Arabidopsis thaliana: one gene and its partners. The protein of the gene in region 1 interacts with the protein of each later gene in a biochemical or structural test. Each region holds a gene or a part of one and is shown in the gene's direction. Other genes may lie near its edges. The genes, in order: RCD1, NAC046, AS1 and BBX8.

Evidence for each region.
Region 2: the proteins of RCD1 (region 1) and NAC046 form a complex in vitro, tested with the Arabidopsis thaliana proteins (one study listed by BioGRID).
Region 3: the proteins of RCD1 (region 1) and AS1 form a complex in vitro, tested with the Arabidopsis thaliana proteins (one study listed by BioGRID).
Region 4: the proteins of RCD1 (region 1) and BBX8 form a complex in vitro, tested with the Arabidopsis thaliana proteins (one study listed by BioGRID).

What each region holds. Positions count from the first base shown.
Region 1 is NC_003070.9:11,609,992-11,616,922, forward strand, and holds RCD1 (WWE protein-protein interaction domain protein family), read left to right. Parts: upstream 1-2,126; 5' UTR 2,127-2,377; intron 2,378-2,746; 5' UTR 2,747-2,869; exon of another isoform or gene 2,870-3,321; 5' UTR 3,322-3,435; coding exon 3,436-4,559; intron 4,560-4,667; coding exon 4,668-4,915; intron 4,916-5,240; coding exon 5,241-5,320; intron 5,321-5,410; coding exon 5,411-5,569; intron 5,570-5,652; coding exon 5,653-5,748; coding exon of another isoform or gene 5,749-5,757; exon of another isoform or gene 5,758-5,840; coding exon 5,841-5,903; 3' UTR 5,904-6,227; downstream 6,228-6,931. Other genes in the region: AT1G32225 (uncharacterized protein), read left to right, coding at 125-298. UniProt on the Arabidopsis thaliana protein: Inactive ADP-ribosyltransferase that functions with SRO1 to regulate oxidative stress, hormonal and developmental responses. Required for embryogenesis, vegetative and reproductive development, and abiotic stress responses.
Region 2 is NC_003074.8:1,052,713-1,057,112, reverse strand, and holds NAC046 (NAC domain containing protein 46), read left to right. Parts: upstream 1-1,916; 5' UTR 1,917-2,160; coding exon 2,161-2,359; intron 2,360-2,443; coding exon 2,444-2,724; intron 2,725-2,951; coding exon 2,952-3,488; 3' UTR 3,489-3,753; downstream 3,754-4,400. UniProt on the Arabidopsis thaliana protein: Transcriptional activator that acts as a positive regulator of leaf senescence. Activates NYC1, SGR1, SGR2 and PAO, which are genes involved in chlorophyll catabolic processes. Activates senescence-associated genes, such as RNS1, SAG12 and SAG13.
Region 3 is NC_003071.7:15,780,366-15,785,601, reverse strand, and holds AS1 (myb-like HTH transcriptional regulator family protein), read left to right. Parts: upstream 1-2,121; 5' UTR 2,122-2,321; intron 2,322-2,650; 5' UTR 2,651-2,700; coding exon 2,701-3,804; 3' UTR 3,805-4,360; downstream 4,361-5,236. Other genes in the region: ACT1 (actin 1), read right to left, coding at 4,361-4,426, 4,538-5,151.
Region 4 is NC_003076.8:19,560,749-19,566,040, reverse strand, and holds BBX8 (B-box type zinc finger protein with CCT domain-containing protein), read left to right. Parts: upstream 1-2,208; 5' UTR 2,209-2,452; intron 2,453-2,879; 5' UTR 2,880-2,927; coding exon 2,928-3,449; intron 3,450-3,536; coding exon 3,537-3,704; intron 3,705-3,806; coding exon 3,807-4,108; intron 4,109-4,192; coding exon 4,193-4,322; 3' UTR 4,323-4,722; downstream 4,723-5,292. Other genes in the region: AT5G48270 (DUF868 family protein (DUF868)), read left to right, coding at 329-1,297; AT5G48240 (Rrp15p protein), read right to left, coding at 4,888-4,947, 5,043-5,138, 5,214-5,268.

The sequences.
Region 1 (6,931 bases):
ATACACATTATCAATGTTAAGCCCAATAGTCCAATATTAGCCCACTACGACAAAATGATGGAATTTGAGTTTGTTTGGGACTTAACTATTAGGGTTTCATAACATATTTTTTCTGCCGCCGTGAATGTTTTCTCCATCACCATTTCCTTCACTATCTCCATCTCATCTCCATCTAATCTCCATCACCGTCTCCCCACCATATTCATCTCGGTTCCACCGTCGTAAATTTATGGACGGAAGTTTACTTACGGGAATGATGATACATGGGATTCAAAGTGTCGACGGCGGAGATGAATGAGGAGGAGCAGATTGGACACCGTTAAAGACGAGATCTTGGTGGTATGTGCCTTGCAAAGTCTGATGTCGGGCACACGTCGATCTCTTTTGGTGGTGAATTCAATCTGGTTGGTGAAATAGGAAATTGAATTTGTTCCCAAAAATAAACGGATCCCGAATATCCGCGGATATCCAGTTTTTTCACGGATATTCGAAATCCGGATATCCGAGGTTTACGGATCCGGATGCGGATCCTAAAACTACATATCCGCCGGATACGGATACGGATCCGGATACTCCAAAAAACCCGGATATCCGGATCCGTAACAGGCCTAATCGTAGGTTGGTAAATTCTAGAAAAATAAGAGATATAAAAACTATATAGTTGTGACATATTCATTATTCAATATGAGCCATGGCTACACAAACTATATAGTTGTGACATTTTCATTATTCAATATGAGCCATGGCTACACAAACTATATAGCTGTGACATATCATACACAGAATAATATTCCCATGAATGCATGTATATATAGATCCTTTGGTTTTCCACCGAATAGTACAAACGTGTATATGATAAAAGTTTAGTCTTGAATTTTATAGATCTTACAAGATTGGGAAGACAGCCGTTTTCGGTACCAACTAAACCCGTAGTCACGGCCGGTCCATCTTAATATGCTGTCTAAAGCCCAAAAAATAAAAACTGGCCCATTATAAAACAAAGTTGAAAAAAATTGCGAGGTACAATTTATCAACTAAGTATTCTTCATCCGTCTAGACATCAAAAGAGTTCTAACTCTCTCCAAGAGATATCGATCTAGTGTTCTTTCTTAAGCCAATCGAAATGTTATTTATCCATCCTCAAATTAGCCAATTCCAAATATTGTTTTCAAATTATAGCCTTTTCCAAAGATTGTGTTTTCAATGAATAATTGTAGAAATTTAATTTTGATAGTTTTTTTATAAGAAAACTACGCAAAAAGTCCAGACTTAATATCCAAGGTGATATCTTTTCCAAGTCAATAGTTCATTGACTATTATGCGTATCTTCTATGTTTTAAAATAAAATAAATTTTGCTAGTTTAGAAATGTGATAATTATTGGAAGTATATCAATGGAATTTTTTATATCTCATTTAGTATGTCTAATTTTGAAAGTTATCTGTATTGAAAATGATTAAATATTCTTACCCTTATAAACCATATATCACTTCAAAATTTATGCTATTGTAGTATTGTTTATAGAAAAACGGAAAAATAAAAATCATTACAAATAAACGCGGCAATGAAACAGAAAAAATAAAAACCATTAAAAATAATCGCGGCAAATTTAAATAACGGCTATCGAAATAATGAAAATTATTTTTTGTTAACAAACATTTTTCTGGAGAAAGTTTTTAAAAATTGATTAAATATTCTTATAACTTTGTAAAATAATATTTTCAAAAACTTCTAAACTATCCTCAACTAATAAAATTTTATTTGCCACTTGCAATACAACTAAAACTTTGTTAGACCTTGTACGCAATAAAGAAAATATTTTTCAATGTCGATAGCTATCTCCATTCCAATGGCCCCCCTAGTCTATTCATCGATTCACAATCTTATCAATCATGTTCCGTCAATACACACTTTTCTAATTTCAACAATTTTATAATTGTTGCCCTCGTTACATTTAATTGTAATATTTTTGTTCTCCTCATGATAATATTATTCCATTATTGTATTCGACCATATCTATCTGCGTGTATTGACCGCCTCTTCAATTAAGTCACCACCCAATAAGATTTCGACGTTGACTGACCGACTTGTAGCTTTAATAAAGCCCACATGATTTGCTTTTCGTCCAAGCAAATTTTTGGTTAGAGAAAGAGGAAAAAAACTCAGGAACCGCCGACTTAAGAATTTCTTCTTCATCATCTCTCCAATATCGCCGATTATATATAAATGACTCTTCGATTCTGTTTCTTCTTCGTCGTCATCGCCGGCTTAGGGTTTTCTCTATAAGCAAATCTTATCTTCTCCTTTTCCTCCGTTTTTTCTGGTCAGCTTTTGCTTTTAGATTACCCTTGTTGCCTGCGATCGATCTGAAAAAAGAGGTCCGTCATGTTCATGTTCATGTTCAGTTTCTTTTCGTTTTGTTTCAATTCTTCTCATGCGATTTGAGGATTTTTTTTTTTATCTTGAATTGTTTTTTTTTGTTGAAGTCGATGATTGTAGATCGGCTTAGATTCGTTTGATTTTGAGTGGTTTTGTGTTGTTTTGATTGAGTTTTTGGATGATTCGTGTGATTATGCTTACGATCTGTGTTTTTTCGTCTCTGATTTTAGTTTATTTTGAAAATCAGTGAAACTGCGATTGATTTGGTTCGATTTGTGGATTTTGTGAAGCAACAGAGCTATTTTGACTTGAGAGATGAATTTTAATTTTTATTGAAAGCTAAAAAGTTGCTGGTTTGGATGTTGCAGGAACTTTATCTTGCTGACGGCTGTTATAAAAAGACGTGGCATTTCTTCTCTGATTGTGTTTATTTTTATGACGGAGAAGATGAACACACTTGTAATCTATCAGACTCTAACTGTTACTGTTGGGTGAGTTTCAAGCTCATGGCTTGGGTTTATTGTTCTCATTTTTCTGTGTTGGTGATTGGGTTTACTTGTTTTTGTTGGTTTGTTTCTGTGTTTATCTTTAGTGTCTCATAGGATCGTTCTTGTTGAGTGTGATGTTCATTTCTTATTGCTTCATTCCTATGTAGGTTGATTTGTACCTTCCGTCTTTGTAATGGATCTTTGTGCTCTTTATAACACAAGATACAACAAGAAGTAATGAAAGACTGTTCATAATGTTACTTACTGATGGAAATTGTAGCAAATGTCTTTTGTGAAGGAATGATATTACAGGATCATAGGTCTCATATAGTTATGCTGATTCTTTCTTGTTTACTGATTCTTTATCATGTAAACTGTGAGGAGTTTTTGTTTGACTCTATTCTCTGTAATATAGTTGTTCAATATTTTAAGCCTTTTCCATTTCTTTTGTGCAGTGTTTTCTAATGCTGTCGGCAAGACACTATCTTTAGGACTGCTAGGGAGTTTAGAGGTTACACAGTTGACTTTTTCTATCAAGGTTATAGGTTTAGTATTGTTAATATATAGAAATGGAAGCCAAGATCGTCAAGGTGTTGGATAGTAGTAGGTGTGAAGATGGATTCGGAAAAAAGAGGAAGCGCGCAGCAAGCTATGCTGCATATGTTACTGGAGTTTCGTGTGCAAAGCTGCAAAATGTGCCCCCACCGAACGGGCAGTGCCAAATTCCTGACAAAAGAAGAAGGCTGGAAGGTGAAAACAAGCTTAGCGCTTACGAGAATCGCTCTGGGAAGGCGCTGGTCAGATATTACACTTATTTTAAGAAGACTGGAATCGCTAAACGTGTTATGATGTATGAGAATGGCGAATGGAATGATTTGCCTGAGCACGTTATATGCGCCATCCAGAATGAATTAGAAGAAAAGAGCGCCGCAATTGAGTTCAAGTTATGCGGTCACAGTTTTATTTTGGACTTCTTGCACATGCAAAGACTAGACATGGAAACAGGAGCAAAAACCCCTCTTGCATGGATTGACAATGCAGGAAAGTGCTTTTTCCCTGAAATTTATGAGAGTGATGAAAGGACCAATTACTGCCATCATAAATGTGTGGAAGACCCAAAACAGAATGCTCCTCATGATATCAAACTTCGCCTAGAGATTGATGTTAATGGTGGCGAGACACCGAGGTTAAATTTGGAGGAGTGCAGTGATGAGTCTGGTGATAATATGATGGACGATGTTCCCCTTGCTCAACGATCTTCAAATGAGCACTATGACGAGGCTACGGAGGATAGCTGCAGCCGCAAGCTCGAAGCTGCTGTTTCGAAATGGGATGAGACTGATGCTATAGTCGTCTCTGGTGCCAAGCTTACGGGAAGCGAAGTACTTGATAAAGATGCAGTAAAAAAAATGTTTGCTGTAGGCACAGCTTCTCTAGGACATGTACCAGTGCTGGATGTGGGCCGTTTTTCCAGTGAGATTGCTGAAGCTCGTCTAGCACTTTTCCAGAAGCAGGTTGAGATCACTAAGAAACATCGAGGGGATGCAAACGTTAGGTATGCCTGGCTTCCTGCAAAGAGGGAAGTTTTATCAGCAGTGATGATGCAAGGACTTGGAGTTGGTGGAGCATTTATCAGAAAGTCCATCTATGGTGTTGGGATCCATTTAACCGCTGCAGACTGCCCTTATTTCAGGTATTTGCCTCGTATTCATCTGTTTTTTTCATGTTTAGATCGTATATTTTACCTTCCTCTGCAATAGGTTCTTTGTGTGTCAAGTACTAACTATGAACTTGTTTACAGTGCTAGATACTGTGATGTTGACGAAAACGGAGTACGTTACATGGTTTTATGCCGTGTGATTATGGGGAATATGGAGCTTCTTCGTGGTGATAAAGCTCAGTTCTTTTCTGGTGGAGAAGAATATGACAATGGAGTCGATGACATTGAGAGTCCAAAGAATTACATTGTCTGGAACATCAATATGAACACACATATATTCCCGGAATTTGTTGTTAGGTTCAAGCTGTCTAATCTCCCCAATGCTGAAGGTGATTAGTTTGTTCTTTTTTTTGTTCCTCACATTCTATCTTCCCCCATTCAAATCAACTGATGACGCATTGAAAGGGAGACAGCTTAGAGATCTGGCTGAAGCTCAGGTCTCAACTGATAAATTTAGAAAAAAAAGTTCCATGTGTGATAATGATAAACCTAACGACCTCCGGTGTTATAACACATTTGGGTTTCAAGAGACAAGTCTCTGATTCATCATCCGGGGGTCGGATGTGATACTCACGCCTTAATGGGTATTTCGATCCATCAAAATTATGTTTTGTGTAGTATTAGAAGTCCGATGACATACACTGGTTTCTGCAGGTAATTTGATTGCTAAGCGTGATAACTCAGGGGTCACTTTGGAAGGACCTAAGGATCTTCCTCCTCAATTGGAGTCAAACGTGAGTTTGGTTACTTCAGTTTTTCTTTGTATGATCTTATTAAAGAAGAGGGACTGAACAACTATATGTGGTGTTGTTGTGTTTAAAAAGCAGGGAGCAAGAGGTTCAGGAAGTGCAAACAGTGTTGGTTCAAGCACTACAAGACCCAAATCTCCATGGATGCCATTTCCTACTCTGTTTGCAGCAATCTCACATAAGGTTGCAGAGAACGACATGTTGTTGATCAATGCTGACTACCAACAACTGAGGGTATAGAAAAAAACTGATTCTGAGAGTTTGCTTTATGATTGGTAATTGCATAAGCTGGAATACATAAGAAATTTGTTGTGCAGGATAAGAAGATGACGAGAGCGGAGTTTGTCAGGAAACTGCGGGTGATTGTAGGAGATGATCTGCTAAGGTCCACCATAACAACCCTTCAAAACCAGGTAAGATAGTAGTAGTAGAGATATTGTTGTTGATCATAAGTTTACTTTGTAAACGGAAATGCTCAACAAAGGTTTTTTGGTTTTAACTTCAGCCAAAGTCGAAGGAGATTCCAGGAAGCATCAGAGACCATGAAGAAGGTGCAGGTGGATTGTAAGTAAAGTGGATGATGATGATGACGAATATCAAAAGGAAGCTGCTTTTTATCTATCTACCTGCCTTTGTGGTTCTCCTTTTGACTTTTTCTAATTTTAGACTTTTGGTTTTGGGTCGGGTCGTTGGTAGAGTTTAAAATGTGTCGACTTTTCTTTCTGTCGTGAAAAATCGTACTATATTATATGATTCTACTTAGTCAATGATGTCGTTGGGTCTTTGTTTCTTTAGCTGCAAGCAAAACATTGTTGTGGAAGTCGTTGAATCTTGACGAAAATTTGGTCGTTAAGCCTATCGCGTGAAACTTTTCTTCACTATACTTTTTCTCATTATTCTGTTAGCTTTATTAGATGCCTCACATTTGTGTGAAGGATTATTTAAGAGTATGATAACTGGTCACCTCTGGGTTCCTTTGACACTTGTGTACTACGGGTAAATCAAGACTAGAGGAATACCAGGAGAAAATAGTGTTGGTCCTCTCCTCCCCTTTAGAGCTCTATATGATGCGCACTGAGTAAGCTTGGCCTCTGACGATGAGAAGCTAGTGGATATCTCGATATTCTAGGTCCAATCAGTTCGATTTTATGGAGTCTCTGTGGAGTAGAGTAAACGGTCAGTTTGGGATCTCTTTCTCTATAACAGCGATTTGGAATCTGATCCGAGTGGTTCACCCAAAAGTACAATGGTTCTGGCTGTTTTCTTTTCATGGTTATAATCTGAAGCATTATTTTATTCCTTTTTGTTTGTGTTGTGAGTCGGCATTTTAGCTTTAAACGAATTTAAAACCGAGGAATTGATGATGAGCCTAACTCTTGCATATTACAGAGGATTGGAGCCATGTATCTTTCACTTGGACTTCGTACTACAACTATGACAGCTCACTACCTTTACAAGATTCGGGGCTCTCATCTACCTTTAATGAGCTTATATGTACATTGTCTAGCCTCGACGCTCTGTAAGCTAGTGACCCAAGCAATCCTCAATGATTTATGGCGTGATTGGGAATCAGAGACTCCATGGAGAGCCGGTATA
Region 2 (4,400 bases), on another chromosome or scaffold:
AGACAGTTAAGTTAGTTGGAGTTTAGGCGTCATATCGTTGAAACTTTTTATATATAGCACCCAGAGAATTTTATTCTAATTTTTTTTAATAATTACCAACTATCTTTATTGGCACAAACCCCAACTAGTAGTCATCATATCCAGAAAACCCAACGTGTATTTTCGCTCATTAAATCCCCAACTTTTAATATACTCCCTTCGATAAATACTGAATTTATATTTATCGTATTGTTTGTTCAGTTTCATAGGCAATGAGCCAATGACTCGAAAGTCAGATAATTTATGAATTGTAGAAATTGTTGATAATAGGACTAAATTTTTAAAAATCTACAGCGGCAGTTTATAATTGACAATCATGTTTTTCATTTGAAATATGGACAGTCATCTGAGAATATTTTTGTGTTCAATCAGCACAAATATACAAATTTTAATCTATAATTTCAAAAATTAAATTAGGACGCTTTGATTTGGTATTTTTTCCTAGTTAATCTTTGCAGGCGGTGGTTTCTTTGACCTTTTTATTAAACACATGATTATGCCGACATTAATAAAAAAAAGAGAGAATATGTTCTTATTACGGTGAATTTACTCATTGAAACTATGACTTCAAAAATATAATATTATAATAAGTTATAGTATATATGTTCTTATTACTTATGGTATATATAAAAGTTAACATTGATATTTAACTCTGTTTAAATATAAGTATAATTTGATCATTGTGTTTTGACATAATATTTTTCTCCATTGATATGAATTCTAAAATAATAAACATATATTTATTTATATACCAATAATAAAATTGAAGATTACGTCACACTACCACCAATTGGTTGATAATTTACACTATTTTATTCCTTCAGCTTAACTGGTAAGGTTAAGAAACACACCACAAATGGTTGCTAAACTCTTAGGGTCGTTTGATAAATGTCTAATCAAGCTACAAAGTACGATCACATATATAATTTAGATTATATATATTATCCATTAAACCACATCCAAATAAATATCCGAACTGAGAACTCATTGAACCACACCCATAGGCATAGCTATATGTACTGCATATCAATTTTATGTGATCGATTTTATCATTTACTCTCGTATATAAACCTTCATAGAAACTTAAAATTTCAAGTTTAACAAAATGAACATTAACATACAAATTCTTTTGAGGTTTTCATTAGGGATTCCTTTCAGTAGGATAATAAAATTAAATAGTAATAAAATTTTAAAAGGGACATATTTTCAACAATATGGGTCCACATAACACGAAGAGGAGCCAAACCTTTTAACACTTTTGAGTGGTATATTTTCCTTCAAACGTTTTTTCTGCCATACGACTCTTTATTTTCTTTCCAAAAGAGGTTATTTTCAAAAGGTAGATGAAGGTCATGTGGCTATCGAACCCATTTTTTTCTGGTGGTTGGCTAAGGAACCCCATAAGATGACTATACTGACATAGTCCTATGTAATGTACAAGGAAAAAATAAACTAACCCTCATATGGAACATAAAATTATTCGACAGACGTGTCACCCTATGGATCTAAAATTTAATGGTAGGATCTAAAATCTAAAATATGAAAATTTGTGGAAAATTCCATAACCATCCCAATAAATTAATTGTTACATATAGCAATATTTTATTAATTAAAATACAGTTTTTATTTGACACTAAGAAGAAAAATAATATTTAGCTTATCTTGAATTATATATATAAATTGCTTATTACCCTGAATTTCATACAGATATGAGATATCATTTAAGATATTTTTGAGTGTTTTCTAATTGTGGGGCTTTTTCAACAAGTAAGGAAGTTGCTTAGAGCTTACGTGTCTCTTCTACATCACCAAAAAAATAAGAAAAAAACAAAACATAAAGAAAAGAAACATTATTGTTTTTTTTAGCTCTTATCTTCCTCTATATAAAGACATTTTTTTTCTACCTTCACATACTTTTATTTTCATTTCCTTTAACTGCATAGTTCTTCCTCAAATTGCTCATACCTTTGCTTCTCTTTCTTTCTTTATTCAACCTCTTATTTCTTCTTCAGCACCAACGTGTATCTGCAGTAAACACATATCCATCGATCGATCTCCTCAAAAAGTTATTGTTTTCTTGAAGGATTTTTCTTGTTCTTGATCAAGCATACATATATATAGATGGTGGAAGAAGGCGGCGTAGTTGTGAATCAAGGAGGAGATCAGGAGGTGGTGGATTTGCCTCCGGGGTTTCGGTTTCACCCTACTGATGAAGAGATAATAACTCACTACCTCAAAGAGAAGGTCTTCAACATCCGATTTACCGCGGCAGCGATTGGTCAAGCCGACCTCAACAAGAACGAGCCATGGGATCTACCAAGTAAGTCAAGTCAAGATCGTTTTTTATTTTGACCATTTCAAACATCATCATCGATCAAGATTCTGATTCTTGATTTGAGTGCAGAGATTGCAAAGATGGGGGAGAAGGAGTTTTACTTTTTCTGCCAGAGGGATCGGAAGTATCCGACCGGGATGAGGACGAACCGTGCGACCGTGTCTGGTTATTGGAAGGCGACCGGGAAGGACAAGGAGATCTTTAGAGGCAAAGGTTGTCTTGTTGGGATGAAGAAAACACTTGTTTTCTATACAGGAAGAGCTCCTAAAGGTGAAAAGACCAATTGGGTTATGCATGAATATCGTCTTGATGGAAAATATTCTTATCATAACCTCCCCAAAACCGCAAGGGTATGTCAAAGTTTACCACTCTTTTTGCAAAAATATGATTCGGTTTAATAAAATAGATCCGAGTTTGATGCATACAAAATTTGTTTGTTGAGAAATGTTTATCTATAGTTCGTTTTTTTTATATATGCCTTAGTTCAAGAATAATCCAAAACATGAAACTTAATTAGGAACTTAATTAATTAGTAATCTAAATGCTAAATTTTTTTTTGTTTGTGTGATGGTTATAGGATGAATGGGTGGTGTGTAGGGTTTTTCACAAGAACGCTCCTAGTACTACAATCACTACTACAAAACAACTCTCAAGGATTGATTCTCTTGATAACATTGATCATCTCTTAGACTTCTCATCTCTCCCTCCTCTCATAGATCCGGGTTTCTTGGGTCAACCCGGCCCAAGCTTCTCCGGTGCCCGTCAACAACACGATCTCAAACCTGTTCTCCACCATCCTACAACCGCACCAGTCGACAACACTTACCTTCCTACCCAAGCTCTCAATTTCCCTTACCACTCGGTCCATAATTCCGGATCTGATTTCGGCTACGGGGCAGGTTCAGGCAATAATAACAAAGGTATGATCAAGTTGGAGCATTCTCTTGTGAGTGTGTCTCAAGAAACCGGTTTGAGTTCCGATGTGAACACAACCGCAACGCCAGAGATATCTTCTTATCCAATGATGATGAATCCGGCAATGATGGATGGTAGCAAGTCAGCGTGTGATGGTCTTGATGACTTGATCTTCTGGGAAGATTTATATACTAGCTAAATTTGGGAAAAGGTTATTTGTTAATTGTGATTGAAGAGTGGCATATTGATTACTCGTCTAGTGTTTTTAATCGTGTAATTAGTTCGTATATAATATACATGTACATAAGATCATTAGGTTTATTAGGCATTGGACTTTAGTTCGGTGATTGCTTACCTAGTTTTTAGCTTGAGAAAAAAGGCTGTCATTGGGGTTATGTTTCTTTGTGATTAACTTGTACATATATACATTTAAATTATTCGTATGGTTTATTTCGTTTAAATTAGTCTCTCATTAATCTTCTAATGAAATGCAATAACACATATATATGTATACTTAATGGTCACCGATTCTTGGTCAACATTAACAAGACAAGATAGTGATTAATTAGTGAATCTTTTGTCATTTATATATCAAACTCTTTTTCTAATGCCGGGGTCTTTTCTATGAGTTGGGAAATTCCGGTTCGAAACGCGAGACTCCTGCATGCTCATGCATAGTATGGTTCCTTTGTAAAATCTCAAGTAACGAGCAATAAGTTATACTATATCACTTCTCGAGCAATAACTATAAGTAATATGAAAATTTGGCATCTCAGTATCTTAGGTTATGTTGTTAACTTGTTATTAATTTGTACGATTACGTTTTTTTTGTTTTTTTCATTCAGTACATAAAATGGAAAATATTGACCTATATAATCTGAATAAAATGAACACAGCTCACGAAACATGTGATTTGTTCCCTGAATCTGAAGCCTTTTCATATGGCTAATAAATTAGTTTATTAAGACACAAATTAATTAAATAACTTAAATTTTTGAGAAAGATTCTAAGTAAGGGCAGTAATTAAAGATGGGTTTCTTGTAAAAACAAACTCCAGATCCCTAAGCCTTCTGTCTTAAGAAGCTTAGTTATTACACTCAATGACATTACG
Region 3 (5,236 bases), on another chromosome or scaffold:
GATCCATCACAAATATTATTGAAGGTTGATCAGAGACTATGGACCAAAATGGTCCGAATCGCCTGATAATAAAAAACTATTCATTTTTATTTTTTATTTTTTTTATTAAACATGTGATTAATGATAGATCTTACGATTCGCAACTGGGAAACATGCACTAACTCAAACTTAAAACACACAATACTAAAAGTTCTATTAAATTTTGAATGTAAAGAGAAATATATTAGGCAATCAAACGGTCAAGTAAATCATACACATCGATAATTTATTTTTTTATCCTTCAAAGCAGGCCCATCCAAGGCCCACCACTATTCTCATATCAACATACTTTTCTTGTTTTGGTTAAATCAACCTACCATGTTGGCTGTTCTCTCCGCTCCTCTGTGTAAGATCACACCAACACCACTGCATAATTTCTTGTATTATTTTGAGACTTGAGAGTAAACTGATTGACAAAAAAAAAAAAAAAAAAAAAAAATTGAGAGTAAACTAGTTTCTTGAATATTGATTTTTTCAGCTTAATTTGTTGGGGAAAGATATTACTACTATTGCTGTAAAAAAAAAAAAAAAAAAAAAAGATATTATTACTATATTTGTAGTGATTTTATTTTGAAAATTCTCTTCACTTTTTTGTAGTTAACATTCTAATTTTGTGAAAAGAACTTTTAATGTCAGGTCATGTCTCTTAAAAAGTTTGCATGATGAAATGATTTACAAATTACAATAGAAAATGGAAACCATTGCAAACTAAATTTTTATCAAAAAAAATCGAAAATAAAATGTATTGACTTAGTAATGCTGTGTCTGCTACGATTAACTATTACACATAATGCAACACTGAATTATCCAAATACATTATTAGAATAATAGTATTACAGTATCACTATTACAACAACAATGTCAACAATAATCTTATTATAATAATATATAAATAGACCTTAGTGACATCATATTATATAGAAAACATGTGGTTGCCTAATTTGTATAAGCTAGATACTTGGGGGTGATGAGTGACTAGTTGATGCAATGATAAAAGAGTGAAAGTTTTGTCTGCCTGATTATAGACGTCGGAGAAATACTAAAATACGCTATGAAGATTTTGGCGCATGGTAGCAGAAAAAAAAAACGGAGGGTGTGAGTGAGTAGTGGTAGTCGGATGTGATGGAACAAAGAAAAGTATTTTTGGTAGGGTTATGGGAGAGAGAAGGGGACCATTATTACACACTTACATGCTTTCCCCAAAAGATACCATTCCCATTTTCTGACACGTGTCCCCCTCATCCCCAATTACTCATACGTCAAATCCAATTTTTAGCCTAAAAGTTTTTTTTATTTGTTTAGCCAAATCTATTTTACTAATTAAAGTTTTCAAATGGCAAATAGAAAGATCTTCTAAGGTTTTATAAAATTACTTGATTATTTCTAGTTTTGCTCATTTTTTAAATAAAATTTCTCTTTTTTTTCTTGCAACATTATTGATTTTTTTTTTGATAGGGAGTAACATTAGTGATGTTCTATCTCTTCTCATTGCAAAAACTTTATTTTCTCATCTCTATTTGATCATCATTGCGAAATCTTCCATTTTCAACAAATACTTTTCCATGTTAATATGCTGTTTCAAAATATAAGTGTTTGGAAAATAAATCAACAAGTTTAAATGTTAACTATTTTTATGCTATTATAATTATTTTTCTTATGGGTAAGTGGAAATTAATGTTACTCAAATTGGACATAAAATTCTATTGTTTGAGTGAAGGAGTTTATAAATGGAGCATTATTTTCTTGAATGGTTAGTTTTTCTTCTATCATTTTGACAAGTAAATGACTTTTCAGCCACTAAAGTACAACACTTTTTCATTTAAATTTAAAGCATCCCCTACATTAGATTGTCATTTTATTTCTCATAATGTTATAGAAAAATGAATTTTGAGATCCCAATGTAGTAAATATATATAAAAAAAGGTTTAATATTGTCAATGACAAACAACGAACTTATGGAATTTCAACTTTTCACCTCCACGCGCCTCTGTCAGAGTTTTTTTTTTCCCCACTTGTGATGTAAAAAGGGGAAAACGTCTGTGTCTCAGTCGGTAAACTTTTTCTCTCTTTTTTTTTTTAAAGATTTTATTTTAATTATGCCGTCTCTGTGGTCTAATCGTGTACGTCGTCTGGTTTTAAAAGCCTCTCTCACTTTGGTCTTTTCGTTTTCTCTCTTCCATTTTCTCCAACTATATAAAAAAAAAAAAGTGAGAGAGAGAGCAAATCTGTGTGATGGAAGTTGCTCTTGAGTTTGGGATTATTTATCTTTTCAATATCATTTGGTAAGCATTTTTATTTTGTTTTATAGTAATAATTTTAACTCTCTTATCTTCTTAATAAGTCTTTGCTTAATAGTGTTTTGGGGTCAGCATTAATTTCCCCTGTTTGGTTTCCAGAATATAGGTTGTATAGTGTGATAATAACAAATTATTCCAAGTTTTGCTTCAAACATTGTCAAAGTTTTTGTCATTTTCATTTCTTGAAACGGAAATTTTTCAGACTTTGTAATTTCTAATTCGAAAATTCGACAGATCTTGTAGATTTGTTTCGATCTTTTAGAGTTTTGAATTGGAGAGATTTATGAAACGGGTTGATTTTGAATTTGGTACAGATGAAGAAGGATGGTGAGATGGGAAGAAGTGATGTCAGGAGGAGTAGGAGATGAAAGAGAGACAACGTTGGAGTGGTGAAGAAGATGCATTGTTACGTGCTTACGTTAGACAGTTCGGTCCGAGAGAATGGCATCTTGTGTCTGAGCGTATGAACAAACCTTTGAACCGTGACGCCAAGTCTTGTTTAGAGAGATGGAAGAATTATCTTAAGCCAGGGATCAAGAAAGGGTCTTTGACAGAGGAAGAGCAGAGGCTTGTGATCCGTCTTCAGGAGAAACACGGCAACAAGTGGAAGAAGATTGCTGCTGAGGTTCCCGGGAGGACGGCAAAGCGGTTAGGGAAGTGGTGGGAAGTGTTTAAGGAGAAGCAACAGAGAGAAGAGAAAGAGAGTAACAAGAGAGTTGAGCCTATTGACGAGAGTAAGTACGATCGGATTCTCGAGAGTTTCGCTGAGAAGCTTGTCAAAGAGCGGTCTAACGTTGTCCCTGCTGCTGCCGCTGCTGCAACGGTTGTGATGGCTAATTCGAATGGAGGGTTTTTACATTCTGAACAACAAGTTCAGCCTCCTAACCCAGTGATCCCGCCTTGGTTAGCTACTTCTAACAATGGGAACAATGTTGTTGCAAGGCCTCCCTCGGTAACTTTGACATTATCGCCTTCCACAGTGGCTGCAGCTGCGCCTCAACCGCCAATCCCGTGGCTGCAGCAGCAACAGCCTGAGAGAGCAGAGAACGGTCCAGGGGGACTTGTGTTAGGGAGTATGATGCCGTCTTGTAGTGGGAGTAGCGAGAGTGTGTTCTTGTCAGAGCTTGTGGAGTGTTGTAGAGAGTTGGAGGAAGGGCACCGAGCTTGGGCAGACCATAAGAAAGAGGCTGCATGGAGGCTAAGAAGGCTGGAGCTGCAGCTAGAGTCAGAGAAGACGTGTAGACAAAGGGAGAAGATGGAGGAGATTGAGGCAAAGATGAAAGCTCTTAGGGAAGAGCAGAAGAACGCAATGGAGAAGATCGAAGGAGAGTACAGAGAACAGCTCGTTGGTTTGAGGCGAGACGCAGAGGCCAAAGACCAGAAACTGGCTGATCAATGGACCTCTAGGCATATCAGACTCACCAAGTTTCTTGAACAACAAATGGGTTGCAGATTAGACCGCCCCTGAACCGTCTCCTAAACTCTTTGTTGTAACTTGTAATGTAATGTAAGGTTTTTTTTTTGTTTTTTTTTGTTTTTTTTTGTCTTTGATCATTTGGGTGTCTCCAATGTTTACTTAGACTTTTGGGTTCCTTACCTCAGCTTTGTATTTGTTTCTTTTACCTTTGTGTTCCATTTATCACTTCAGTTTATCCATGGCTTTGTTTTCTCAAGCTTGATGTTGATTTAGTCAGCTGCAACACTTTGGTTTATAAATAAAATCGATTTATATCTTTACATGTGTAAATTCAAGTAGAAGACAGAAAACAAATTGTTACATAATAATTGAAAAATTGAAGAGGAAGAGGTGTGTACTTATTCACTCAAAAACACAGTTGCATTAGATTTTAAACCATACTACAAACAGATTACCATAAATCCATGAAAATGTATTTGGCATGAATTTCAAAACATAAGAGAACAAAAACAAAGAGCAGAATAACGGAAGATTAAAAACCCGGCTTGAGAAATGGTCGGAAAAACCCTGGCGGTGCTTCTTCTCTGAAAAATGATCAACTTTGAACTCAGAAGCACTTCCTGTGAACAATCGATGGACCTGACTCGTCATACTCTGCCTTTGCGATCCACATCTGCACAAGGTAACACATAGTTTCAGAATTGAACCAGTTTAGTTAAGCTGAGAGTGATTAGGATTTAGTTTAGGTCTGTTTAGAGTAAACAAGTGATGGGACTGTGTGTACCTGCTGGAAGGTACTGAGGGAGGCCAAGATGGACCCTCCAATCCAGACAGAGTATTTCCTCTCTGGAGGGGCAACGACTTTGATCTTCATGCTGCTTGGAGCCAAAGCAGTGATCTCTTTGCTCATTCTGTCGGCGATTCCAGGGAACATTGTGGTTCCACCACTGAGCACAATGTTACCGTACAAGTCCTTCCTGATGTCGACATCACACTTCATTATGGAGTTATAGGTGGTTTCATGGATACCAGCATTCTCCATACCAATCATAGATGGCTGGTAAAGAACCTCAGGACAACGGAATCGCTCTGATCCAATGGTGATCACTTGCCCATCAGGTAGCTCGTAGTTCTTCTCAACAGATGAGCTGGTTTTGGCTGTCTCGAGTTCCTGCTCGTAGTCAAGAGCAATGTAGCAAAGCTTCTCCTTTATGTCTCTGACAATTTCACGCTCTGCTGTGGTGGTGAAAGAGTAACCACGCTCGGTTAGGATCTTCATCAGCGCATCCGTGAGGTCACGACCAGCAAGATCAAGACGTAGGATAGCATGTGGAAGTGCATACCCCTCATAGATAGGAACAGTGTGGCTCACACCATCTCCAGAGTCGAGCACAATACCTGCACATCCACAATTCAAGAAAGGCTTTACGTTTTGCTCTGCAAAAATGTACAAAGATCGAAGCTTTACACCATAAGGACACAA
Region 4 (5,292 bases), on another chromosome or scaffold:
GCCACTATTAATTAAGATGTCAAATATAGATTCCTTCTTTATCGGTGTTCCATCAAATAATCTCTCAGTTTTTCTTTCTCTCTCTCTTTCTCTTGCCAAAACTCAAAAAACCAATTCCCCATTGAATCAAACGAACTCAAACTTTTGTCAGTTTATTACTAAACATATAGGAAAAGTTGAACTATCTTGCCTAATCCATTTTTTACAATAGAGGAAGATCAACATTTTGGCAAAATTCTTATGCAAAAAAATAAGAACAAAGTGTTTGTCATTCTTTTAGTTGATTAGTTTTTTTTTAACTTTGAACCCATTGAGGTTTGTAATAAAGATGTTGTCATTTCGAATGCCGTCTATCGGAAGCCAACCTACGGCATTTGCTGCAAAAATAACGGACAATCCAAAGACCGTGGCACAACTCAAGTCGGCTGCATCGCCTTCACCTCATAGTACCGTGACGTGCGGTTACCAAGCTCATGTGGCAGGGTTCTTTCGAAACGTCACCGTTTTATGGTCCAAGAATCTCATGAATCATTCCCTCACCGTAATGGTGTCGAGTTTAGACAATGACATGAATTATTGTTGTAAGATTGATCTCGTGAAGCCATGGCAGTTTTGGAGCAAAAGAGGGTCAAAGTCATTCGACGTAGAGGGAAACTTTGTGGAGGTCTTTTGGGATCTTCGATCAGCAAAATTGGCTGGAAACGGTAGCCCCGAACCCGTGTCAGACTATTACGTGGCAGTAGTTTCTGATGAAGAGGTTGTTTTATTGTTGGGAGATTTAAAGCAAAAGGCTTATAAGCGGACCAAGTCAAGACCGGCATTGGTGGAAGGGTTCATATACTTTAAAAAAGAAAGCATATTTGGGAAGAAAACGTTTTCGACTCGGGCAAGGTTTGACGAACAAAGAAAGGAACATGAAGTGGTGGTGGAGAGCTCTAATGGAGCAGCGGAGCCAGAGATGTGGATAAGCGTTGATGGGATCGTGGTTGTGAACGTGAAGAATCTACAATGGAAATTTAGGGGAAACCAAATGGTGATGGTGGATAGAACACCGGTAATGGTCTACTATGATGTTCATGATTGGTTGTTTGCAAGTTCGGAGACTGCAGCGAGTTCAGGGTTGTTTTTGTTTAAGCCTGTTCCGGTTGGAGCGATGGTAGATGAGAGCTTTAGCGATGCGGAGGAAGGAGATAGCGGAGGAGGGAGTAGTCCTTTGAGTCGTTATAATTCAGCATCAAGTGGTTTTGGACCATTGCATGACTTTTGTTTGTTTCTTTATGCTTGGAAACTTGAATGAAGACTATTAATATCATAGTGTGTGTGTTTTTATTTAAATCTCTTTTGGTGATTAAGTTGGAATAGAATTAGAAATTAACAATTTAGTCTACCTTAGTTTGGTCCCAAATACCAACTAAACGATTGCTCAAGAGTTAGGACAATCAGATATTTGCAAACAAAAAGTTTGTATTAGTTTAACCATACTTTTTGTTAATCGAATAACCATAAGAAAATTTGGTAAGTTTCTTATGGATATGAGTTAGTTTTCTTTAGCTAGGCCATTATATATATAAGTCTATTTATTTACAAATTCAATTAAAAACAATTAGCTTATTTAGTTATCAATTAAAGCTGTTTTTTATTTTAAAAAATTAGCCTATTAAGGTTTTGACTTTTTAAAAAAAATACATGAAGCAAAAAAAGAATGAAAAGTCTTTAAAAAATGAAATACTTGACACTAGCATTGTGACTATCTAGTGTACATAGTTTCAAATTAAAAGTTTTCAACTCAAATTAATGTACTAATATTTTGTCAAATTGAATAATATAAGTAAGAGTGGACACCGACCTGCGCGTGTCAGTGTTACAGATACACAAATATCTTTTTTTGTGTAGACGTTTCCAATTTGCCAGATATTATATTTGATCTTTCTCTTTCTTTTCACCTACAAAAATAATATCTCCTTTTTTAGGCAAGATATTTTGTTCATTCATGTGCGTCTCTCAAATTAAGATATTTTGGTTTTTTGTAAAGTCAAAGCAAAGACTATTGTTGTGATTGGGCTTTTAAGCCTTAAAGCATCTAAAAGAAGACGCTTTTGAGAATCCAGAATCGGAAAAGTTCCACTTGTGCCTTGTAGATCGCGAGTACGGCTCTTTGTCTACACGCGAGCGCGTGACTTCATACTCATAAAAATATCTTTAGGGTCCTTAGAAAATGGGTTCTTTTGAACTTTTTACCCAATGTTTCTAGAATTATCAGCTTATGTCACATGCCTCTGCCTACATGTCCCTTTGCAGACACAACCCACCCATTGTCTATCCATCTGTTTCTCCTTTTACCCTTCTTCACACGCAGCTAAAGAAGAAATTTGTGGAATCATCGCTTATTCGTTTCAAAAGTCATTCATTTTTGGTGTCTCTGCTTCAGAAGATACTTGACGATCTCTCCTACGTGAGCTCTTTAAAACCCTTGTCTTGTTATTTTAGTGAGGGTTGCTTTGATTCTCAATCCTTTTTGACTGATCTTGAAATGGATCTTCTTTCACTTCTCTCGGATTTGTAATAAGAAATCTATAATTTTTTAGCTCACTTCTCTGATTGGTACATGTTGATCTGAAATTTGAAGTCTTTCTGCGATGTTAATTGGTTTCTCTGATGTCTCTTTTGATTGGTCTTTGATTTAGAACAGTCTCATCCATAGGAAGTTACAATCTTTGAGGAAGAGATGTTTAAAAAGATTGGACTTTTATCTAATTCTGGACTTGCTTTCGATACCAAGTTTCAAGCTTTTGTTAGTTGTTTAATGTATTGTGGTAAGTTTTTTTCCTTCTAAGATTATGATATAAGGGACTAACCAAAATGGTTTGATTCTTTGTTAGTGAAAGGAGCTTGCTTTCTTCAGTGTGACGGTTGAGATTGGTTGAAAGATGGGTTATATGTGTGATTTCTGTGGTGAACAAAGATCAATGGTGTATTGTCGATCTGATGCAGCGTGTTTGTGTCTTTCGTGTGACCGTAATGTTCATTCTGCTAATGCTCTATCGAAACGTCATTCGCGGACTTTGGTATGTGAGAGGTGTAATGCACAGCCAGCTTCTGTCCGGTGTAGTGATGAGAGGGTTTCTCTATGTCAAAACTGTGATTGGTCAGGCCATGACGGCAAGAATTCTACTACTACTTCACATCATAAAAGGCAAACCATCAATTGTTATTCTGGTTGTCCCTCGAGTGCCGAATTATCCTCGATATGGTCTTTCTGTATGGATTTGAATATCTCTTCTGCTGAAGAATCCGCTTGTGAGCAAGGAATGGGTTTGATGACTATAGATGAAGATGGCACAGGAGAAAAATCTGGTGTCCAAAAAATTAATGTAGAACAGCCTGAAACCAGTTCGGCTGCACAAGGTATGGATCACTCTAGTGTTCCAGAAAATTCATCAATGGCTAAGGTATTTTAACATGATTTTCTTCATATTGTGGTAAGATCTTGAAAGCAACTAGCGTCTAAATGTTTCTTATTATTGTACTGGTTGTAGGAGCTTGGAGTATGTGAGGATGACTTCAATGGAAATCTCATTTCAGATGAAGTAGACTTGGCTCTTGAGAACTATGAAGAACTCTTTGGTTCAGCCTTCAACTCATCAAGATATCTCTTCGAGCACGGTGGAATTGGAAGTCTTTTCGAGAAAGATGAAGCTCATGAGGTTTTGTCAACCTTCTTCTTCTATCTGAGACTAGTATCACTAAAGTTAAGGATGATTTTTTTCTGTGATCCTTATGCTCTTTTGTGTGTTTTCTCAATTCAGGGCTCAATGCAGCAGCCAGCATTAAGCAATAATGCATCTGCAGATTCGTTCATGACTTGTAGAACCGAGCCAATAATTTGCTATTCATCAAAGCCAGCACATTCGAATATCTCCTTCTCTGGCATCACTGGAGAAAGTAATGCTGGAGATTTCCAAGATTGTGGGGCGTCATCGATGAAGCAGCTTTCAAGGGAGCCACAACCATGGTGCCATCCAACAGCACAGGACATTATTGCTTCCTCACATGCAACAACACGTAATAACGCTGTTATGCGTTACAAGGAAAAGAAGAAGGCTCGCAAGTAAGTATAAACGCACACAGAAAGGAATTTAATTCATCATTGAAAGTTGTTATAGCTAATATTTAACATATTTTGTATAAATAGGTTTGACAAGCGAGTAAGGTATGTCTCTAGGAAAGAAAGGGCTGATGTGAGACGGCGTGTGAAAGGACGGTTTGTCAAGTCCGGTGAAGCTTATGATTACGACCCGATGAGCCCAACAAGAAGCTACTGAGGATAAAACCTCAAAACAATGAAAGATCACAAAGTGGAGATATAAGACAGAGATGCAACTAATTGGCAGCGATGGATCTGGAAGCCATTATTGGTTGAAAAGGAACACGAGTTCTCCGCCTCAAAAGCGTCATACTTGCTTAGAAAGGCGCATGCTTCTGCAGTTCTGCCTCATTTTTTGCATAAAGTTTGTTATCTTCTTCTGTCATTTGGCATCATGACTTGACTGTGAAACTAGAAACTCTTCTACAGATTCAGGTTCATGATCCTTAAATTTTGTCCTATTATAATTTGTGTAGCCAAGGCAAAACAACGAATGTATATTTTTTTTACGTCATATAAATAATAACCATGTAGAAGTTTGGAGTATCATCACTTCTATATTTACGGTATTGGTTAATGATACTAACAAGTGTATTTTCTAAAAGCGTAACCACAAGAATCACAACCTTTCAGGATCCTTTTGCACTATCAAAAAACTGAATTCATTCATATTGATCAGACAAAATTTGCATGATACAAAGGCAAAATTAAAGTTTGCTCGTTTAACTACTAGTTTAAACTCTTCAGTCTTCATAACTTTCATCTCCTGACAAACCGGCAAAATCATCTCCCTCGCTTGTTTCCTGCGGACAATTCAATTTTAAGTTTCAGATCAAAGAGTATAAATCAGTATGCAAGCTATGTGATTCCAGATTTGTGGATAAGAATGAAGAGATACCTGTTTCTTGTCCCAGTCCTTCAGTTTTGGGTTTGCTAACATGTAATTATCTCGTAGAGGAGCCCAAACAGGAGCTTCGTCTTCAGATTTGTGAGCCTGCACCATCCAACAGAATATCACTAGTTAACTAACCAACAATACTTTAGACTTATAACTAACGGCTCTCGCTACTGAAGGTGATCCTTTCTCTATAGAAGCCAGCTCAAGACAGAATACTAACTTGCTTCTATGTTCATCCAAAGTTGAAGGC